Arabidopsis thaliana: one gene and its partner. The protein of the gene in region 1 interacts with the protein of each later gene in a pairwise test. Each region holds a gene or a part of one and is shown on either strand. Other genes may lie near its edges.

What was found.
Region 2: the proteins of AT2G32560 (region 1) and AGO1 interact in a two-hybrid assay, tested with the Arabidopsis thaliana proteins (one study listed by BioGRID).

The regions. Positions count from the first base shown.
Region 1 is NC_003071.7:13,820,877-13,830,660, reverse strand, and holds AT2G32560 (F-box family protein), read right to left. Parts: upstream 5,999-9,784; 5' UTR 5,842-5,998; coding exon 5,245-5,841; intron 5,158-5,244; coding exon 5,078-5,157; intron 4,995-5,077; coding exon 4,816-4,994; intron 4,736-4,815; coding exon 4,661-4,735; coding exon of another isoform or gene 4,596-4,660; exon of another isoform or gene 4,085-4,595; coding exon 3,900-4,084; 3' UTR 3,401-3,899; downstream 1-3,400. Other genes in the region: EMB2795 (condensin complex subunit), read left to right, coding at 1-71, 189-219, 425-579, 696-806, 1,035-1,241; AT2G32580 (transmembrane protein, putative (DUF1068)), read right to left, coding at 1,526-1,872, 1,985-2,008, 2,632-2,812; AT2G32550 (Cell differentiation, Rcd1-like protein), read right to left, coding at 8,061-8,117, 8,216-8,285, 8,385-8,581, 8,675-8,770, 8,866-8,975, 9,063-9,105, 9,220-9,324, 9,458-9,529.
Region 2 is NC_003070.9:17,881,482-17,894,391, forward strand, and holds AGO1 (Stabilizer of iron transporter SufD / Polynucleotidyl transferase), read right to left. Parts: upstream 11,116-12,910; 5' UTR 10,947-11,115; intron 10,420-10,946; 5' UTR 10,412-10,419; coding exon 9,776-10,411; intron 9,689-9,775; coding exon 9,480-9,688; intron 9,404-9,479; coding exon 9,254-9,403; intron 9,169-9,253; coding exon 9,029-9,168; intron 8,931-9,028; coding exon 8,821-8,930; intron 8,728-8,820; coding exon 8,621-8,727; intron 8,531-8,620; coding exon 8,392-8,530; intron 8,321-8,391; coding exon 8,204-8,320; intron 7,736-8,203; coding exon 7,628-7,735; intron 7,530-7,627; coding exon 7,458-7,529; intron 7,108-7,457; coding exon 6,985-7,107; intron 6,897-6,984; coding exon 6,734-6,896; intron 6,646-6,733; coding exon 6,386-6,645; intron 6,269-6,385; coding exon 6,126-6,268; intron 6,027-6,125; coding exon 5,964-6,026; intron 5,879-5,963; coding exon 5,815-5,878; intron 5,732-5,814; coding exon 5,596-5,731; intron 5,500-5,595; coding exon 5,426-5,499; intron 5,348-5,425; and 10 more. Other genes in the region: AT1G48400 (F-box/RNI-like/FBD-like domains-containing protein), read right to left, coding at 655-969, 1,056-1,196, 1,289-2,374; AT1G48405 (Kinase interacting (KIP1-like) family protein), read right to left, coding at 3,164-4,011, 4,088-4,133.

The DNA of each region.
Region 1 (9,784 bases):
CGAAGCTTCCAGAGGATTGCCATTATCAACCTGAGAATCTAATAAAGCTATTTCTACTACCGAATGTGATGGTATGGCTTGCCAAACACAGACCAAGTCACTAGTTTGCTATTATTTCTGTGTTTTTTTATCTTTTCTTTTCCATTTTGTGTCATCTTTTCTGAATTTACTCTCCTGAATGATAACAGTGCCTTGGGAGGAGGAGAAGAAAAAACTCAGGTAACACTTCCAGTCATTAAGAAAATCATCACTTGTTGGTATCCGTGGCGGTTTATGAGGCGTATAACAGTGTCTTTGTTTTCTTTACTGATATTAAATTTCCGTAACAAAGGAAATGGTTTCAACAATTTACCACTAAATCTGTATTGGGTTTCTGAAAAAAAAATATTTATGTTACACTTGTTTTGTTATGTGCATATTCCAGGTGAAACTTCAAGACAGCAGCCTGATGATTATGAACATGGGGAATCCTGGGGAAATGATAATGTTTATGATGATGATGATGGCCCATTCGATGATAATGAAAATGATCAAAGTGATGCAGAGGATACCAACACATTAATCTCTCAGCCACGCCAGGTATGATAGATTGATCTGCATATGGTTACAGCATTACAAATCATTTTAAAAGGCTGTAGCTATCTATCTTAGGAATGAAACATTGTTGTAATTATCCTACACAACTCATGCTTTAGGTCAACAAAATTGATGTCCAATACGATAAAGCTTCAAAACAAGTTGATGTGCAAGTGCTAAAGGAAACTCTTTGGGAGTGTCTTCAGGAATCTCATCAACCTCCAATTCAGGTTAACCAATATACTCTGATTATCTCTCTTATGATTTACATGACTCATTCGTGTACTTCACATCAGCCAAGTTTTGTCAACATACAATCTAGAATTCCACACACATACATTCCTGTTTAGTGCAGTGCACCTTTTTCTTATGGTTCCATGCCGAAACTAACCCAAGGATGGCTTTTCCTTCTTTTCTGCCCATTACTGTGATGATATTAACAGAATCTGATTGTGCAGGATGAGGAACATCAACAAGAACCACCTGAAAGTAGATCTTTCAAAGTGCTATTGGCTAGCTTCCCAGATGATTGCCAAGCAGCCGAGAGAACCCAAGACATCTCACCACATCTATGTTTCATCTGCTTGCTGCATTTGGCGAACGAGCACAATCTCAGCCTCATTGGTTCTCAAAACTTGGATGATCTAACAATACACCTTGCCTGAAAGAAAAGTGAAGATAGACCAAAAGGAGAAGCCGAGTGTTTAGAGAGTGCCTTTGTGCTCATCACTATGCCTAATAAGTATGTTGTAGTTCAATGTAATGACTTGATTGTGTTGTAACTTTGTTCAAAATCCACTAATCCTTTGTTGTTTTGGTTACATGTTTTCATTCCATCTGATTGATTTATCTCCATCAGAAAACTTAAATACAATAGTATGAATCAAATTCACAGATACACTGAAACTTTTCTTTCGTGTGATAAGAAATCAAAACCTTTGGTGTGTCCTTAAGCAACCTCAGTGCCGCTTTTGGATTTAACAGTTGACTTGGTGGCTCCATCTTTGTATCCTTTCTGACGAGCTCTCTGTTCCCACATAGAAGTCAGCTTCTTCTGCTCCACAAGTGCTTTCTCCGCCTTCTCTCTTGCTTCTTCACAAGTCTCCATACCCGAGTTACACTTATCTGCCTCCTTTTGGTAAGATGATGTTATCTTCTTGGCCTCTAGCAGACCCGTGTCTACTCGTTTGTGTTTCTCCATCGATGCTGCTTCACGCTGCTTCAGTTCCTCTGTTAAAAGTTCAGCGTAGTTCTTCTCTGTGTCTTCGTTCACCTCTGGATCACGCTTTGCACAATCTGCGCATCAAAAGACAAGATGTTCTTAAAAGACTCATTTACTAAAAACATAGTCAAGAGTTTTCTTCCGGGAACTCTTTAACTGATGAATCCAATTGACAGAGAAACTCACCAGTGAATGAACCATTGCTGAGTCCTGCAGCAATATGAAAACAAGTAAAAAGAGTTAGGCTTTTTATTTTTGGTATCATCCGAAAAATACACATATAGTAGATAAAGAAGTTTGTAGATAGTAAAGAAGCAATGATCACAAGGCATTGTGGACAACCATATCAACCTCCATGAATTCATTAAGAGTGAATCACATACATGGATAAAGATAAAGATAAACACAGAGTAAACCACATACACTGCTATTAGAAGTCACAATGACCAGAACAAGTAAACCAGAAGCTAAATCACAACACAAGTCAGATCTCAAAGACTCAAACTTGGTGTTTAAACAAGAACAGCAGCCTGCAAACTTCAAATCTCCATGACCAAAAACTATAGCTTCAGATATACTTATCAAACCAAATAATCAGAGAAACAAAACAATTCTTGTAGATCTACACAATTCTTGTCTATCTATCTGCATAGAGATTCAAACTCAAAATCCCTCATCAAGCTAAAGCATGCAATCTGGCAACTCAATCACCAACTACTACTAAACAATACCAAATATGAAAAAGGTACTAAATTTGCTCTCGTTGTCTCAGGGAAAATGAATAAACTTTAGAGCCGATCAAGCAAGATCCAATAAAGGGAAATAGTGATTACCAGTTGGGATGGTGAGAAGAGGCAACGAAGAGCAATCACAGACGCAAGCAGAGCAAGAAGTGGCTGAAACGGCTAAGGCTTCCGTGAGGTGCCAGTAGAGCGGTGGACCAAGTATGTAGCCAATCATGCTGAGGGCCAGTAAAGCTAGTCCCACCTTCAACGCTGCCGTGTGCTTCGCCATTCGAGATCCGCTGATCTGGGTTTTTACAAAAGATTCCAAATTTGAGCTGTTGCAGTAAGGAGAATTGGATTTGAGTCTCTCTGATGGAGAGTATGGACTCTTGCACTCAGATTATGGTGTCGGTGGAGATTCAACTGAATGGTTTTCTATACTTAGGTATGGGACCAATAAAACAAAGTGTAAGTTGAGACTTGAGTTAATGGGTGGACTCTTTTTACTCGGTGATGTTTTTGACTTACAGATACTAATTTTCTAACTACGTTGAATCCCGAAGCTGTGTAGAGACATATCTATGACTTTATGTATTGACTATTGAGGATGTGTCTAAGGAGGATCCTCCTTATAGCGTTACAAAAGTGCTACTTATTAGATAACGTTAGGCGATGGAATTGCTACTTTGTTGCAAGGAAAATATGACTACAGGAATCTTTCTTCTCAAGAAGATGAGAATCTTTAGTTTGGGTTTATTGAGAGTGGAGCAACTAATGCTGCAATGGTAAGCTTCTTTTTTTGTCTCTTCTTCTGATTAGGATTCTGACTTTCAAATACAATCCTTCCCAGGAGCAGCGACATGTTCATTTGATGCAAACCCAACAGGTGGTTTCAATGTTTCTGTCTCCACAGATGATTTGTTTGGCAATGATACTGATGAGGTGCAGAAGAAAAAAAGACTCAAGATAGGAATGAGGAACAGACAATGGGCAGTATGAAACTTTGTCTTTGGATACTGATTGTGACAAAGGTGTATTTCTAAATAGGGCATGTAAAAAAATTCAGAGGAGATCAGAAGGTGTAGCAGAAAACCTGAAACTCTGGGAGAGCTTGACATAGCAAGCGGCAACAAGATCAAAACCAAAATGCTCTTTGAGTATTCAAATCAATTGTATTAAGTTTTCCCTATACAACACAATATTTCTCAAATCGAAGTGACACAATAATTTCACGTATAGACTTTATTCCCAACAAATAATTCACGATCAACCATACATTGGATAAAAGAGAATAGACGTCTAAATTTAACAACCTACTCTCAGTATAGTGATGTGTAATATCTTTCCCCATGTGTTTAAGCAAAGCTTCTTTAATGCTATTCCAAGATGGAGCAAGGCCAGTGACGTTTCCACATTGCAATCTCTTCTTTACAATTTAGCTTTCGGATTCCTCCATAGAACCCGTCTTCTTCGTTACCTTCCTCTTTATGATCTCTCATGATCATCGTTCTTCTCCACCTTGATCCGACTGTGTACTGGTTGAATTCCAACACTACCGTCTCTGTTTTTACCATTCATCAACACTTGACAATTTAGTACAACATGTGAATGCAAAAACTCGTTTAACACATTATCAGTAGACAAAGGTTAAATCAAGATGCAAGTGGGCAGAGAGAAATCCCAAAAATTATCTATTTCGATGTGATTTCTACTTTTATGTGGTCATGCAATGTGCCAGCAAAATGATAAAAATAAGAGATTTTTTTGGAGTGATAAAGAGACAGAATCATTGTTGAGCCCCACACCCATTAGTAATGCAAATTCCAACGATGAGGACATAAGTGGAGGTTTCAACATCAACTGAAGACACACATTTATCAAAATGTCAAGGAAAATCAAGACATATCATCACATTATCATCATCATTTGTCGTTTTGGGACCAATCTTAACAAGAAAAGGCATTGCTTGAATTGGCTCTCTTCAATGTTCACCCTTTTCAACTATGTTTTGGGAATTTAATGGACTTTATGAGCTGAGACAATGAGTAATGCATAGAATATGACAGCCAATTTTAAAACAACCAACCAAGACTCCATTTTTTAACCACAGAAGATGAAGATGAAGATGAGAACTCACCACTAAGATGGCAATGGCAATGGTTATGATCTCCATCACAGGATTCCAAGTGGCGAACAAGACCATACCACCATCCTACACAACAACATCACACAAGCTTTTTTCAGAATCAGATTGCAAGTTCAAACCAAAAGCATCATATTATTATTATTTACCATATGGGAACTCTTTGTTCCTTCTCCACTGGATTTCGATGTGATCTCCAGGTTTCAACTCTTTTAAAGAATCTGATACATGGAGAAGATGAGGTGATGCATCAATGGGAGCTGCTCTTATTCTATCCCATGTCACACCCTTTTCAATCGCAGATGCTCGTCTACCATGTGGTGGATACCTAAACTCCCCAATAAACGTAAACTTATGATGAGAAATAAGAAAATTTGTTAGCGTCAAATGTGGACATTAGATATTTTATACCTGGCTTGGAACGTATCCGTGTGAGTATCATAGCTGAGCTCCGCATCATAGCATGACAACATGAACCCTACATGTCCATTCTGCTCTTTCACCAAAAAAAAGCCTCTTAGTACTTTAATCAAATCCATAAAGCAAAAATGGAGCAACTATGTTTATGAAATGATTACCTCACGGTTGTAAACTTGAGCTGGGAACCAAAAACGACCTGTTTCAAGGGAGAGGTAGCAGCTCATGCTGGAATCAAGTGGCAGAGAAGATGCATATCCCCTCCTTTGTTTATCCTCTCGGAAAACGGATGAAAGAGATCGGATCAGAGAGATGATTTTGGCAAAACCAAGATTCCCAGTTTGATGATGAGGAGAATCAAGATGATATGTGGAAGAGGAGATATAGCATTGCCACTCTCTGTGAGCAGCAGGGCCAAGGATTTTGCCCCATTTGGTCTTCAAATGTTTCTCCCATAGATGATCACTAACACATCTCTCCCTCAAGGAGCTACAAACCCTAGCCATGCTGCAGAGTCCAGAGGGTGGAAGAAGGTCAAGAATGCAGTCAAGAGCCAGCTCAGGGAGGTCAAGAACCGACATTTGGTCGATCACCGGAGAGGCTGGATCGTGTTTGGTCTGATGTAGGGTGTTCATAAAGGGATTCTTGATGAAGTAGAAGGAGAGCAAGGTTTTGGTTTCAGATGCCCATGGAGGAAGAGAAAGAGATTTGGTAAAGAAAAAGAAAGAGAGACAAGTGATGAGAAAGTAGAGAAGCATTTAGACAGTATTATTGTGCTGCCTTTTTGATTTCTTGTTTCTGAGAGTATAAATAAAAGAAGAGGATAGATGGATAGCCAATTGGAATTGGAGGATCACCTAACCAACTCATGGACACAATAAAATATTCTTTATCTCTCTCTCTCTCTCTCTCTCTCTCTCTCTCTCTCTCTCTCTCTCTCTCTCTCTCTCTCTCTCTCTCTCTCTCTCTCTTGTTTTGGAACTTGAAATTGAATGAAGTTGCCAAGTTGTTAAAATCAAGAGAGAGAGAGTGTGTTGGACCCACAAAAACCCAGATTACAGGAAAGAAAATGCCTTAGAAACAAAGCCTAAATTGAAGGGGGTTACTTATTAAAGAATAAAAAGAAGAATTTATATAGAAAAAGGTCTACTTGGTGGTGGTGGCATTGGGATTTCCAAGGACAGTGGGAGGAGATAGAATTGGATCTGGCCAGACACAGAACAAAAGGTTCACTGAACCTACAATATTAAAAGTGAAGGAAAACTATATTATAAAAACATAACCAACCAATAAAGAAGAGGAAGAAGAAGAGATGGGGATGACCTTAGTAGTAAATAAACAATTATGCAAAAATAGTAAATAAGCAATGATCACAAGTCATCCTAAACAACATTATCAACCTCCATGAAGTCATTAGAGTGAATCCTATAAACCAGATTAAGGATATAAGCATACACCGCCATTCGGTGTCACCACGACAGCCACATGAAGTAAAACAGGATGCTCAACCACACCACAAGTCAGAGACCTCAGACTCAAATTTGTTTAAACAAGGAACAGTAGCCTCCAAAACTTTAACATCTCTAAGATCTTCAAAACTATAGATATCAAAAACTGATCATTGCCTACTTATCAAGCCAAATAACCGGAGATACTACAACAGTCAAAAACAATGCAAAATTCTTGTTTATGCAGAGAGATTCAAACTCATTCCCTAATCAAGCTAAAGCAGCTCAATCACCAGAAACTAAACCAACTACTAATCATTCCTACTTTCAAATTGCTAACAATACCAAATATGAAAAAGTAGTAATTTTACTCATTTTCTCAGGGGAAAGCAGTAAACTTTAGAGCCGATGAGGCAAAAACCAATCAAGGGCCATTGTGATTTTACCTTTGGGGAAGGTCAGAAGAGTCTGCGAAGAGGCGGAAACGGCTGAGGCCTACGTGAGGTGCCCGCCGGACTTTTAACGCCACCATACGAGATTCGGCGATCTGGGTTCCAAATTCGAGCTGGGATTTGGTGGAATTTTAGCTGTTTGCAATGGCGAAAATTGGAGAACCCAATGGATTCGAGACTCTGATTTTTACTGTTGCACTCAAATTTTGACGGTGGTTCAATTTTGGGTAAAGTAACCCATAAGAATTAAGAAAATGTAAATTGAGTTAATATGCTTTTTTTAGTTTTTTACTCCGTCATGTTTTGACTATTTTACTCCAAAAGATTCCGGAGCCAAATTCCGACTAATCTCCAGAGGCATGTGGCGGGTAACATTCACAGTCAGTAGTAAATACTATCCATAATTCAATGTGACAAATTCTTTAAAATGTTTATTCTATCCAAAGTTGGGGATTGGTTTCTAGCTGATTTTGCTTGGCAATGGTACTGACTCATAATAGGAATGGGGCAACTATGGCAAACAAAACCCCCCATACTAGACTTCTATGGATGTGGAATGATTTCGCAAGTTTGGCTAACTCAAAAGACCCCTTAATAATCAATATTCCTCTGGGCCCTGGCCATGCAATGAAATGTCTCTCACCTTCAGGTCTCTTTTCTAAAAGTCCTAGTTGCTTAAACTAACTCAGAGGAACTCAAAACCACAACTTCCAGAAGCTTTACATCTAAATAACATTACCCTAACTTATTTTTTATATCAATCAAGATCATCAAGTTGCAAATAGTTAAGCAAATTAGCTAAATCCGATTGCTATCAACCAGTTGAAAAAGATAGATAGAAAATGGCAAAGTGCATTGAAATGTATTCCAAAAGAGAGAAAACAATGTTGAAAGAGTAACGAGAGTCATCCAAAAGATATTAAACCAAACAACAACATAAGACTTTTCATAGAGTTTTTATGTCTTTAGTAAATTATTACTTAGCGTTTACGCGTAGGCGTACTAAACCCGTACTCTGTGGGGGCTGTTCTGTTTTCATTGCCTCATTGAAAACAGTGTCTCGAGTACTTCATTGCTTTAGTTGTCCAGATTCTGAAGCAGCTGAATTCGATTGTTAGCAGCCACTGGATCCTCCTACAAAAAAAACAGACAAGACACACATAAGCTTTACTATTCCCTGCATGAACCAAAACCATACAAATTCCAAAAAACACAAGAGATTGAAATCTTACAGCATATAATCTGGAAAAGGTGCCGTCAAACAGCAAGAAAGGCGTGTATCGCCTTATTCCGTTACGAGCCCTAATGCATATACCAAAAACTCAAACTGTTGTTTGCTTTTACAAAACCTAATCATTTGTATCAATATCAAAATATTATCACGAGGTTTAGCAAGAAAACCTGGAGTTCTGGGAGAGCTTGACGTAGCAACCAGTAACAAGGCTGAACAAGGATGAAGGAGGTCTGACCATGTTAGAAAGATAGAAGAGCACCTTCTTAAGGAGCTCATCGATAACGTAAAACCGATCAGCCAAGACGCAGCAGTAATAAAGCCCCTGATCCGTCGACATAATCTTGTCGAGTATGTATAAAGCAACCTGAACAACAAGTATTAAGTTTCAAAATGCTTTCTTTATTCTTCTTTGATTTATAGTCAAAATGAGTAGAAGTAGCGTGCGAAAGAAACTTACTTTTTTTGTTTCTGTAGAGCCAAACTCAATGGGTTTAACGCAGAAACCAACAACACCACTTTCCATTAGGTAACGATTAACAGCTCCATCTTCAGACTATAGAGAAGTGAGATGTTCAAAGTAATTTAGTGGGGTTTTCAATAGCATTTGTCACAAACAGATTATATTGTAAGAGAATATGTATGTGGTACCGCCTTCAACATATGAGCAATGACACCCAACGCAGCAAGCCTCATGCATTCGTCACTTTTATCAATGAGACCAGTGTCCATCAGAGGATAGAAATAATTTGGCATCTTAGCTGCAACAAATCAACCAACATAAGCAGAAAAATTTCAAAGACAATGCAACATCATATGGTTTGTTGCACAAGAGGAGAAAGAAATACCCCTAAGAAACTGACGGCTTGTGTCTGGGTGACAAGCCATGCTCTGTAACAGGAAAAACGATGATAACATCACAGAGCAAGTTTAGGCTTAAGCATTTATGAAAGAAATGGTTTTTAAACTTAAGAAAAAAAGAAAGGTGTGAGACCAAAACAAAACCTGGAACAAAAGAAAAACATTGTACACTCGAAGTGGATTCAACGGATGAGGGAACAATCGAAGTGAGATGTGTCCTGCGAGGTGTCTGTAGGCTTCAAAAACCTCCTGCATAGATTGAATTAAATTTAAAGTGAGTGTCACAAATATAGAGAAGTTTATACAGAAAAAAGATGGCAAGATTTAGAAACAATCAGTTTTAAAAAGCCAAAAGAAATAACCAAAGTAGTGGGTACTTAACCTGCAACATGATGTACACAGTATTTTTAGATTCCCATAACAGACTCGGCAAGAACTCAAAGTCGTTCCTATGCTGCCATTGGAGAAAAAGGATAGAGATAATATAAGTTGTTAACATTCCAAAAATGTTTTTAAATGGTCCTCGACTACTAGATTGTATATAAGTTTGTGACATTCAAAAAATTAAAAGTGTGAGTGAATTTATTCTCAACCTATGGACAAATTAAGGCAAATTCCAATGTTGCATATCTAAAGAAATACTAGAGATAAGATCTCGAATATCGATAAGATCAAAATACCCCAAATTACGAAATTTTTGGTTTTCCAA
Region 2 (12,910 bases), on another chromosome or scaffold:
AGATTTTGTGTTGCAAATATTATGTAGCTTGAGTCATTTATGATGGTTCAGTAGATATGGAAGAAGAATTTATATCATTCTCCTATCCAATGGATATACAAAAGATAAGTTTTACAAAAGCAACTTGAAATACTAGAAGAGCTTAAGAACACGGCTACGTCTAGCAAGGCAAATAGAACATAAGAAGATATTACTTATCCATCCTATGCAAATTCAAATGTAGAGAGTAGTAATGAATTTAGAGTGCAGCACGATATAGCGGAGAAGACGATGGGCTAATACTACATTTGGTAAAACGGATTGATAGTATTGTTTCACCACTTTGATCCCTTTCTCTCCATGGTCACCTCTTGTTTCAATCATCTTTCTTTTTTTGCTTTTGTTCTTAGTTTTATCCACTCCAAAACAGCTCTGTGAGGATACATTTTCATAGACGGCAGCGCGTAAATTAGAGATGACAAACCTTGTCAAGTGTTTCTGGTATGTTTATTTTTTACCTAAAAGAGTCACTTATACAATTTGATGTGCAAGTTTTGATGATTGCTGCCACAAGCACAACTAAACTTGCATAATTGATAATTCCCCAATATTCTGCGTTTCTCTTAACCATAAACTATTGCTATATATATAACAAAGAAAGATAAAGAAAGAAAATCAGATGAAGTGGACGTTGCACTTTGCTGAAACTCTGGGAAGAGTCAGCACATTAGCTCGCAAGAACTCACTGTTGTTGTTGTTTTCTGCGTGAACACCAACTTTCACGGTTTCAAGACATTCCAACTTGCCCAAGAAATGTCTCATCTGTTTCAGCTCTTGAAAATAACCTCCATACTCTGAAATCTGTAGCACCTTCACTTGACATGTCCGCAGACAACATAATGCCTCTTCTTTCTGTACAATCTTCCTCTGCTTCTTAGGTATGCAAGCGCATGCATCTCCACATCTACTAGTTACTCTGTGGACAAGACCCTGAAACCAGAGACCAATTTGACATGAATAAATTAATGGGGCAACACTAACAACAGAAAAGAATCTCAGCAAGGTTTATATCATACCTTGATGACTAAGGTGTGTAGATTTGGACAACTCTTGAGGAGAAGTGGCATTACTTGCCAACCTTTATCCTTGTTACTCTCAATAGATAAATTAAGGAGGTTGTTGAACACGGGCATGGATTTACAGCAGAAATGAAACACCTAAGTTATAAACGAACACAACCAAAAACCATAAATAAGTAAGAGACCTTGCTAGCTCCGGTAACAAACACTAAGACGAAGCAAAAACTAACCTCAAGGGAATCAGGAGACAAGTGAAGGGTCGTAATGTTGCGTATAGCCGCAAGTAGTTCTGTAACATCACCAAATATAGGCGCCTTTGGTTCTACAATATAATAATCACCATCATCATCATCATCATCATCATCATCATCATCATCATCATCATCATCATCATCATCATCATCATCATCATCATCATCATCATCATCATCATCATCATCATCATCATCATCATCATCATCATCAGAATAATCATAATCGTTAGTTGACACCCATAACCTGAGACTCAGCCTGGCTTCGACAAGCAAATCGAAATCAACAACATCATACTTAGCCGAGACATAACTGGAATAGTCAAGGTAGACAAGACTTGGTGCTTCAAAATAAATCAGTTCGTGCCAAATCATTTCATTTGGATTATGGGTAAAAATCACAAGTCGCTTGAGGGATGCACTTTCCACGTTGGTACCACAAGTAAGCCGCAAGAACGGATAATCACCATCACGCATGTATAATTCTTCCAACACAGGGCAGCCATCGATGAGCCGTATATAGTTGGTATAATCACCCAGAATTGAGAAGAGAGAAAGTGATTTGAGGGCAGGGAAAAACACACGCTCTACTTCAACAAAACATCGAGCGGATAGTGTGAGCTTAACCAGTGTGTTGCTCGTTAACAGCTTAGTTTCTATGGCAACAAAAGACATGGGGGTGGCGTGCAAGTGTATTTCCAATAAACCGCGTTCCATTACAGTCCGAATCCAACGCCGGACCATACCGTCTACATCATCGTTATACTTATATACACGAGACAGAGAGAACTTCTTGATGTGAGAATTGCTTAACAGAGCAAATGTCTTGTCTACGAAATCACAGAAGCGAAGTGAACCACTTGTTTCTTCTTCTTCGTTGGGATAAACAACCATCGACTCATCAAAGCAGAGGTTGTCTACAAGACCCAACAGATTCCTCCACCTCTTGGACAGAACCGATGTGGAAGCAGCCACTTTTGTCGGGAGCAAAGACAAGATTTTGCCAAGAATCTCATCTGGCAAATTGCTTATCGAATCTCTAGGAGAAGTTCTCATCATAGCCATAAATTAGGGTTTTAACTACAGGAAGAGAAAGTTTTTGGAACTTACGATGGCAGAGAGACGAGGAAGTGTTCCAAAAGCTTGACGATGAAAATCTGAGAGAAAGAGAATTAGGTTTTGGAGGGTTTCTAATTAAAAGATACATTTTGGGTATTTAACAGTTTCGACTTTTGTGGATTTTATATGTTGGGCTAGTTGGTTCAGTTAGGTGGGTTTAATAAACTTAAAAAGCTTCTTTTTCGATCTCATTATAGTTTTTGCGTCTTCTTTTTTAACCGTTTAGAGATTTTGGTTGCAGATATTATGTAGCTTGAGTCATCTATGATGGTCCTTCAAAAATTCAAATCATAGTATTATGTTGCAGGGTTCAGGCGAGGTTCGTGAAATATTTGACTTTTAAGACAAAGACAGTAATCTTTCGGTATGTTATTCCTGGTATAGAAAGAGTGTTAAAAACACAAAAGACATCAAACAAGATGATCCTACTTAGACAGTAATCTTTCGGTATGTTATTCCCCCACTTTCTCACAACAACAATGTCTCCATTGTGGTCAGATGAGTGGTGAATCATAGGGTTTTAGTCTGTAGTCTTATTGAACCTTTTCTTATATATTCGGTGTACATAATATATTATCGAACATTTTTACCGGAATTTGCTTGTTCGACTTAGTTTGCACCTAAAATCACAAGGTTATTTTGATGTTAAATGTTGCTTGTCTAACAAGGCAAATAGAACATAGGCAGACATTATTATCCATCGTAAGAAATACAATGTAAAGAGTAGTAACTAATTTAGAGTGCAGCATGATAGAGGGGAGAAGATAATGGCGTAATGCTACATTTGGTAAAGGGATTGATGGTATTGAGTCTCTTGAACCACTTGGATCTCATTTTCTCTCCAGTTTCACTTCTTGTTTCACTCATCTTTCTCTTCTTGCTCTTTTTCTTACTATTTTCCAATCCAAAGCAGCTCTGCGAGGATTCATTTTCGTAGACAGGCTCTCTCGATGACTGCAGCTCGTAGATTTGGTTCTGGAGATGACACATCTTGTGAAAATGTTCATCCCTCATCTTAAGAACGCACCTAGCAAGCTTAACTGCTTCGTTTTTCATGAACAGCGCTTCACTGGCGAGCTCTCGGTTCTCTTCCAAGAGGGAAGTAAGTTTGTGTCCGAGATTTGCGGTTTCTTCTACAGCTACTTCCTTCTCCATATCAAGCAACATCACAAGCTTCTTTAGCAAGCCAATTGTCTTGCAAGCTTCTTGCAACGTTTGTTCTCTGCGTTGTAATATGTGCTTCGCGGTATCTTTCTCCAAGTTTGCAGTAACGAGCTGCGAGACTAAGTCTTCAATGTTCTTTTGCATATCACAAGTGGAGACTTCCATCTGTTGAAAGGACAAGATGCTCTCTACTTCAGAAGTGATGTCAGTATCGGTATCATTGTCATGAGGAATGACTTGTTTAGGGTTTTGATTGAAACGGTCCAAGAGAGTGGCGTAACCATCGTAGAGATCTTGACAGAGTGAGAGAAGGAGAGGGCTTCTCTGGTAAAACCATTCAGCACGTTGAGAAAATGTTTCACCGGTTTGGTTATCATCAAGAGCAGAGACCCGCATTACTTGCATCCGAGACTCAAGATCTGTGTCCATATTCACCAACATATCAAACAAAGTAAGCACAAAAACAATATACAAAGTTTGAATTTTTAAGTGTACCGGAGAGAGATGGCAACTGTGGAAGAGGAGACTGAGAGGCATCCATGGATTCTGTCGATTGCTTTGCTGGTTAAGAGATGGAAGAGAAACTGCCAAACAAGGGAAGCTCAATGAAAATTCAAAAACCCCATTTTCAAATTATAGGGAAAAAGAAAGGCAAACGCATGAAATCAGTGAGAGAGATTGATATATGGCAATTAATGGGCTTTGAAGAATTTACCATAAATGCTGCAAATATCCGACAGGGTGAGAGAAACTAGAAAGCATAAAAGAGGCAGTAAAATCAGCCTAATTTAAAATTTGTAAATGTTCCACTTTAGGCATTTTCCACGCAAACCTCTAAATCAAAACCACATGTTTACTTGTGTGATAACGTCAGGATTTTAGTCCTGACTACATATAAAGAATTGTAGTCAGGATTTTAGTCCTGGATCTCAACGCTTATACCTACAATGTAGTAGTGTGGTCGACAATACAAACAACCTAAACATCTCTAAACACAAAATCTCTTGAATAAAGATTTAAGACGAGTTAAAGAAAGGATCAAAGTCTGTTTTGAATAATAAATTTTAGTAGTTGTCAAACAAGAGTCATAAAGCATCTCATACTCATAGAGAAAGAGTGATGAAATATCCAAACACACGATAAGTCTTAGAAAGCATACATGATATTCTTCATTAATTTAGGTCATAAAGATAGATAGAGGGTGAATCAACTCAGCAGTAGAACATGACACGCTTCACATTCTCTTTCAGAGCTGGGAGTGGCCTCACTGCAGCATTGACATTAGGCCCGCGTGTGCTTCTACCAGCCATTCCACCTCCACGTGCCATGCTCCCACTAGCCATTGAGCCACTGTCTGATGTCTCTGGCTCCATGTAGAATCGAGCCCTAAAAGCTGCTAGATGTGCATAATATGCAGGGGGAACTACAATATCCCAAAACAAAAAAAAAAAACATTGAATACTAAATCTCTCTCTTCTTTATATCAAAATCAAGATGACATTAAGGGATGGGAAACACAAAACTTACCAATTGAAACTGAGCGTGTGCATCTTGCATACCTGTACAAATCAAAAAGGTAGTTTAAATGTTACTCTTATTTTCCTTGCAATCTTGCAAACACTTGTAACAAGGAATATGTTACAAAGGTAAGAAATCTTACGTGTAACATAAGTTATTGGTCAGAGATTGAAGTCCATCTGCAGTAAAGTTGTTCTCATCCCAAAGAACGTGGTAATGAGCAGGTCGAGAAGTGCCCTGTTAATGGAGTTTTGATTTGTTAAACACTTCAAATAAATTCTCACCCACAAACTCATTTGAGATTGTAAATTATACCTGAATACCAGCATGACTACAGAGGTAAAAGTCAAACTCTGTAGGGTGGCAGATTTTAGAGTCCACAACAGTGCCTACAATTAACAAAGGGGTTAAAAACCAATGCAAGGGATTTTCAGCTGATTAGGTCTACGCACAAAAAGCTTGACAAAGATCCAAACTTGTCTCACCAGGTAAAATATTCCCACTTCTGTCCACCGAATGGCGATCATTGTGGTTCTGAGCAAACAGCCTCGTGTGATGACGCTTCTGCACCACCACAAATGTCACTGGTGGTTGATAACCTGCTTCCAGCGAAGCACAGGCCTGAAATGAGTTGAAATAATAATCAGATTAAACAGAAGAAAACGAGCACGCAACACAAGCCATTTGTTAGAAGTAACTGTTACCTTGCGGATGGCATCAAGTTCATAGAGCAAAACTTGGTAAAATTGTCCCTCACTGACTCCATCCCTGTGCAGAATAACCATATAATACATTTCAGAAAGAAAGACAGAAAGTTATTTAGTCAAGTAAGTGCCATAAGAAGAGTTAATACCTGTAGAAGATGATCCTTAGTGGTTTATGCCCAGTTGATCTACGGAAGGCTATGAGCAACTCCCTGTTCAAAAGTAAGGGGAGAAACGTACAGATCTGTTACTTAAGAGCAAGCTAAAGCTAAAACCCAATCACGAAAATATTAAATAACATCCACACGTACTTTATCATGCCACCAGTCACCACACCTTTCTGAGGATCCTTCCACTCTTTGAACAGATCCTGAATGAGCTCCTGCCTATGCGCTTGAGCGCAAACTAATCCAGCATATTTAGTGATTTCAGGCCAATCCTGAGATGCCACAACCTGAAAACAAAAATTTCGTTGTCAACAAAACAAGCACAATTTGAAAAGGTTAAGGCCATGAAAATAAACAAAAGCATCCATATACAGAAGTAGATCTTAAAGGAGAAGCTAACTTACAGCAGCAATAGATGGGCTTGAATCCTCTCCAGGGTGAGGGTGGGTAACATCAGCACCAAATATAATGGTGGGTCGATCACTGACTAGAGGAATCCGCCTAGATAGAGCATCAACAAGCACTGTGTTTCTTCCTCCAACCTTCACATTAATCTTCAGCGCAACATTAGCCATGTATTGTTTGCTCATCTTAAAGACATGCTTTGTCAGGCAACATTGAGAGACTATGCCGAGTTCAGTCTCACATATGCGTTTCAAATCACCTGCAATGGATATTATTAAGGAAAATAAGTTGAGAGTGTGTTCCTAAGCAGAAGTAGACAATGAAACATCCGAGACCATGGCTCATACCGTATAATGATCCATTATTATCGGGCAGAATGACAATAAGCAGATCAATTTCTTTTCCTTGGGAGAGTTTTGATGTGGCATCATGATATCTAGTCTTCAAGACCTTCTCTACTTGCTCAGGGCGAGCACTGACTGGTGGGAGGACTGGTTCCGGATTAAATGCCTGCAGGTAAGAAATAAAAAATTAAAGGGAAGGAATCAGTGTAGGAAAGGTTAATAAACTGATCAAGTTTGTGCTTCCAAAGACTCACCATGCCAGATACGTAACACATTTGAGCAAGTTCCTGACAAAATGTACGCGCTAGATTGTCCTGCACTTGCCTAGAAAAGTTGATGCAGATCCAATTATTCACCGTTCCACCATTGATCATTTTCTGCAGAGAAGACTCATATTAGCCAGACAACAGAAAACGTTGTGATCACTTTCAAAAAATAACAAAGACAAATTCAGTGTGTATCTACATAGCTACATGAACAAAATACTCTCTGCAACTAGTCAAGTGCCACACCCATACTCATATCAAGAGAATAGCATTTTAGAGTAATATGTCTCATAACAGACAAATAAATAAACAATTTTCTTGCCAATTACCTGGAAATATACAGCTCAGCCATGATTTACAAAATATTCACATAAAAATGACAGCATAGGTATATATAGGTAACACAAGCAAGAAACATGTAAGTGCATAGTTGAAAACCAGGAACATTTTCGTCTAGTTACCTTATTCATCATGTTCCATTGACCAACTTGTGGCAGACAAGTCCCTTCCCTTCCAGACTCGTGGTACTTAAGCTGCAGAACATTAAAATCAGATTGGAACCCTAATTTGAGTCATTAAGATACAGAGAAAAAGTGTAATAGCAAAGAGACAATGGGAACGATTACTATACCCATGGAGGAGGCAGTATACGAGCCTCAACAGAAGCCAGAGAAGTACTTATTTTGATGCCAAACTCTTGAGCATAATTATCTTTAGCATAATCATTGAGTTGCACCGTCTAGAAATCAGAAAATATTGTATAATGTTAGCAATAAACAATTGAGTTTTCAACAACAGCAGCCAGAAGACACACGCGCTGCTAAATTAAGAGCACAACTCTGAAGATGGTAATCTGCCTCACTATTTATGAAGTAAAGGCATCATCTCAAGGTAAATCACTCTCTTCAAGCAAACATATGCATCCAAGTAAAGAAGAAACAGGTTTTTAAGCCATTCATTCCATAACATCCTTTCAGCCACAAGTTTATATGATTAAAAACAAGTTAGATATGAATTGAGAAAATCACTTACTTCAAGTAAACACATGCAACCAAGTAAGAATAAACAGATTTTACAATGATCTATTCCACAATGAGGCTTTATCACCAGCATACATTATTTAAAACGACTATCAAGATAGGCGGACAAAAAGATACTCTTGATTCAAGTGAAGGAAAACAAAGTTATCGAAAATAAAGAAACATACCTGTAAGATATCTTTTTCTCGATCTATCGGGCGCTGACAGGTAACCTTCAGCAAAGCAGTGATCTGTCTCTCATTCAATCTTTTGGAATACCGCTGGCCTTCAACAATCTTGCATACCTGTGCAGCAACACATTAGAATCGGAAGTACTGGTGAGCTAATAAAACCTGATGACGTATTTCAAAGTTACCTCCATTGGTAAGTAATTAGGCCTATTAGAATTCCCAACTTGCAAGCATGGTAGTTGAGTGTGCTGAATGCGAAAACCATATGTTTCGTGGAAGTATTCTACAACAGATTTCTGAGTATTTCTTTCATCTACTGGGAATCTGAAAAGGATAAAAACAGAGAGTAAAAATTAATTTCATCAAGTTCAACATTCGCGAAATAAGAGTAGTAAATCTAAAACAAATACGCACGTCAATTCCCGAGTGGCCACAGCAGTCAAACCGGAAATGCGGTACTTCCGGCGCATGTTTCCTCGATGAGTCACTTCAACTTTGACACCTCTAAGAGCCTTTTTTATCTGTTGACAGAAGAAGATTCCAAGTCACTAAGCAAAGAAGAGTAGATTAATACAACATTTCACTTACTACAGAAAATGACAATTGATTCATACCTTAACACGATCAGCATCAGATAAAGGTCGAGAAGAAATATCCCGGTTAAGCAAATCACAGACAAACTGAATCACAGGGTTTGCCTCTATGAAGGCTGTCGATGACATATCTACAAAACAGACAAAATTGCAGCACAACCATGAGTTAAACATTCAAGGAGAACCAGATATCAAAAATTATTGAATGTAATACAGCAAGCCATCACACCAATATTGAGTGATAAGCCCATCTGTGTAGGACGAATGCTTTGGTAGAATCCACGCCAGCTCTCCAAGCCATCCCCCAATGATTGTTTTTTTCCTATATCAGGGGAATAAAAGGACCGGCCCACCGGAATATACCTGATTCTAACATGTTAGCAAAACTAAACCAGCTGAGACTTACAAGCATGGTAGTAAAGAAGCAAACATCCATAGGATGAGTAACCAGTACCTAGAGGTCGGCAGCTCACGAAGAACAATGTCAAGAACCTGCAGAGCTTCCTGTGGGGCATCTGATTGTTTCCCCTCCAAAAACATTCCTAGGTGATGCAGATCAGCACGTGCAACTAGCTTGATCACAACTTTAAATTCCCTTTCTCGTCTGTAAAATAGGAAAGATGTTATTATTCTGAAACTTCCTTATTAAAAAAATCAACAAGAAACCATAAGAACTAGACCTTTGACCTCCAGCCCCTACTTCTTCGTCAAGAAGATTGATTCTGAACTCCTTGGAGTTAAAGGGAAGTGGACCAGCAGTGTAAAGACTTTTTCGACCATCATACGCTGGAAGACGACTTCCAAGGTGAGAATCACGATAATTATCAACAAGTTGTTTCATCACAGCACGATTGACACCCCTTGATGTAACTTCCGGAGTAATGGTAACCTAACAGAAAGAACACAGTTGGTCAGGTAAATTTATAAATAGACATTAGATGTATGGTAGCTAATACTAAGGGAACACAAAACTCACATCATAATGGTGCAAATCCTTATCAGGCAGTTCAGCAAAGAAATGGTTAGCCTTCACAATGCAACGCTTTCCACTCTGTCCTTTACCAGGCCTCATTGGAAACTTGAAAGCCTTGCTAGAAGAAGGTATAGGCTGGATTGCCTGACTGGGAGCTCCTTGTTCAACAGAGAGTTGTTCAAATTGCTGAGCCAGAACAGTAGGTTCTGGTACCTGGGTAGGACTCACCTCAGACAGTGTAGGCTGAGAAGACACCGCTTGATAAGTAGGTGAGGTAGCTTGATGCAGCTCGGGAACTGATTGTCTCTGCGGTGGTCCAGAAGAAGGTCCACCTCCACGGCCACCGCCATACCCTCCTCGACCTCCTTGATGAGGAGGTCCTCCTCTTCCTCTTCCTTGGTACTCTTGTGGTCCTCCATACTGTTGTTGCTGTTGTGGTGGTTGCCCATATCCACGACCACCACGACCTCCCTGTTGAGGTTGAGGAGTATAACCCCTTCCACCTTGGTGTTGTCCTCCTCCCTGCTGGAAACCACCTCGCTGTGAACCACGTCCACCACCTGAGACTGGACCAGCTTCACGAGACCCAGAGCCTTCACCTCCTTCAGATGGAGCATCCGTTCTTCTCTTTCTCACCATGATGATTCCTGTGAAAATAACACAACCACCCAAAAACAGTGGGTCATTTTAAAATTATCCTTGAAAATAAGAAGCAAACATTGAAAACAAGCACAAAACTATCGAAATATAGAAGCAACAGAAGAAAACCCTAACTAGCTTCAAAAACAAACGACTCAGAAGCACGAAAACCAGTGATTAGCTAGAGAGATAGAAAACCAAATTCAACAGCCCAAAGCAAACATAGAAAACCTAGTAAGAAACAATCAAAGACCTAAACAGAAAACGAAGTAAGAAAACAAGCACGAAACAGTAAGAAATTTGAAGCAACAAAAAAAAAAAACCTAAATATCTTCGAAGACGAACACACACACCAAAACAGCTACGAAGCTAATAGATCCGAAATCGCAAAGATCAACTAAACATACAACACTATCAGTGAACCATAACACCAAAACGAAGCGGATCCACCCAATCGAGTGGAAAAATCGAGTTCATACGCAGATCGAACACAGATTAAGTGAAGAACAAACACCAAAACCGCCGCCATTTTTACCTGAAAAGCAATCTCTCGCCGGAGAAACTAAGATTGACCGAGAAAATCCGTACGAAACACCAACCCTACGTCGCTCTCGCCTCTCTGTGTTCTCTCTATATCTTTCTCTCTCTCTCTAACTCCGAACAAACGAGATAACTCAAAGAAATGAGATTTTACTGCTACACTTTAAATTCAAGGGTTCTGTGGTTAGAGTAAGTTACGGAATTACCCTCTTCATTAATAGCTGGCATATGTCGACGTGGCGAGTCAGGGTTGGGTCTTTGGAATGCTGACCCAAGGTCGTGTGTAGTCTTTCATTGTTTGTAATGCGCTGATGACGTGGAATTGCATAATGTTTTTTTAATCCGGAAAAAGAAGCTTCTCGAAAACAACAAGACGAAAAACATTTTTGTCGTTTATCTACCAAATCTTTTTTAATTTATTTTACTAACAGTATATGTATTATCCGATTAAATATGATTAGTGTGATGCGTTACCTCGATTAATCTTCAAGAGTTAGTTGCATTAATTTAAATATTTGTTTTAGACTATAATATACCTCGATTAATCTTGTAAAGTTAGTTGCATTAATTTACTATTTCAACGAGAGATAATGCATGCACAAGTGTTCAAAATTAGTAGACCGGCCGTTATTAATCTTATTATTAATCTGTAGTAACTGATTAGATCATAATTTTTGGCTTACGTTACGTATAAAGGATGTTATACAGTTAAGTACAACAGTTTAAAATTGGTACTTGTGTGTGAAGATAAAACAGTGGCTAGAGAAAATGTCGTGAGTCAAGGCGACTGATCGAGTAGTACTAACGAATTGTACATTGTCAAGGAGGATTTTTCATGCAACGAAAGGCAAAATCATGCGAATTACGTTTAGTTTTATAGACTATATATAAGATAAAGTGAATGATTATAGTATAGAGGTGAATAGAAGAACTATTTATTAACTGAGATGGGTCATGGGTGGTGGGGCAAATATGAATATAGCCATTTACTATATAGATAACTCTCTTTCGTTTTCATAGAAATATGACCTGCGATTTCGGGGAAGTGATGCTTTTTTACAGGTTTGCCAATTTTCTAACTTTAGGAATGTGGTGGCTGTCATCACGTGGTATGATTTGTTTGTTTAATTCAATTTACTTTATTTGATGGTTAGCTCTTTAATTTAGTTTCACTAGTTGATTTGCTTCTGTACCTCAAAAAAATTCATATACTCGTAACAAATCTGTATTATATATAATTGTCAAAGATGATTTATACATATATAACAAAATTGGTTGCTCGTGCGTGAAGAAGAAATATGAGCTAGAGAATATGTCACGAGTAATTACATGCTGACGAAAGGCTAAATCTTGGGGAAAACGTTTAGATTTCTTTTTGTGATAACTGTAAGTCTATCTCAAAATGATTCGTTTGCTTTGGGAAATAATGATTCTTTTCATTATAAACATTAATTATAATAATCAAACGAGAAATTAAAAGGCGAAAGATTATAATAATCAAGCGAGATGTATAGAAGAACTTATATATGATTTCTCATAACGGAAGAAGAACTTAGAACTCGTCAAGTACTACTACCTCGAGAGTCGAGATGAAGATTAACGGCATATAAGCATTGATATCAATCAAGATTGGTGTACGTAATTACGGGCACCAACGCACATGCATGCATGGCGAGTCTAGCTAGAACCGATCGAAAACGTTGGTTTACGATGGAGGTTTGTGTTCCTTATAAGAACTACGTACAGTTTGGCTCATGTTTGAGTCGATTGGTGCGGTCTTGACGAGAAACGACTCTCACGGCTCGGTTCTCTTCTATAATCAATAGATGTTTTTGTACAAGTTTACGTTTCCGTGTTAATTAGGTGAAAGAATATCTAGACACTTTACCTAACAAAAGATTGTCTAGATCATATAGTAAGGTGAAAAAACATAAAGTTGTAGACAAAATATTAGATGTT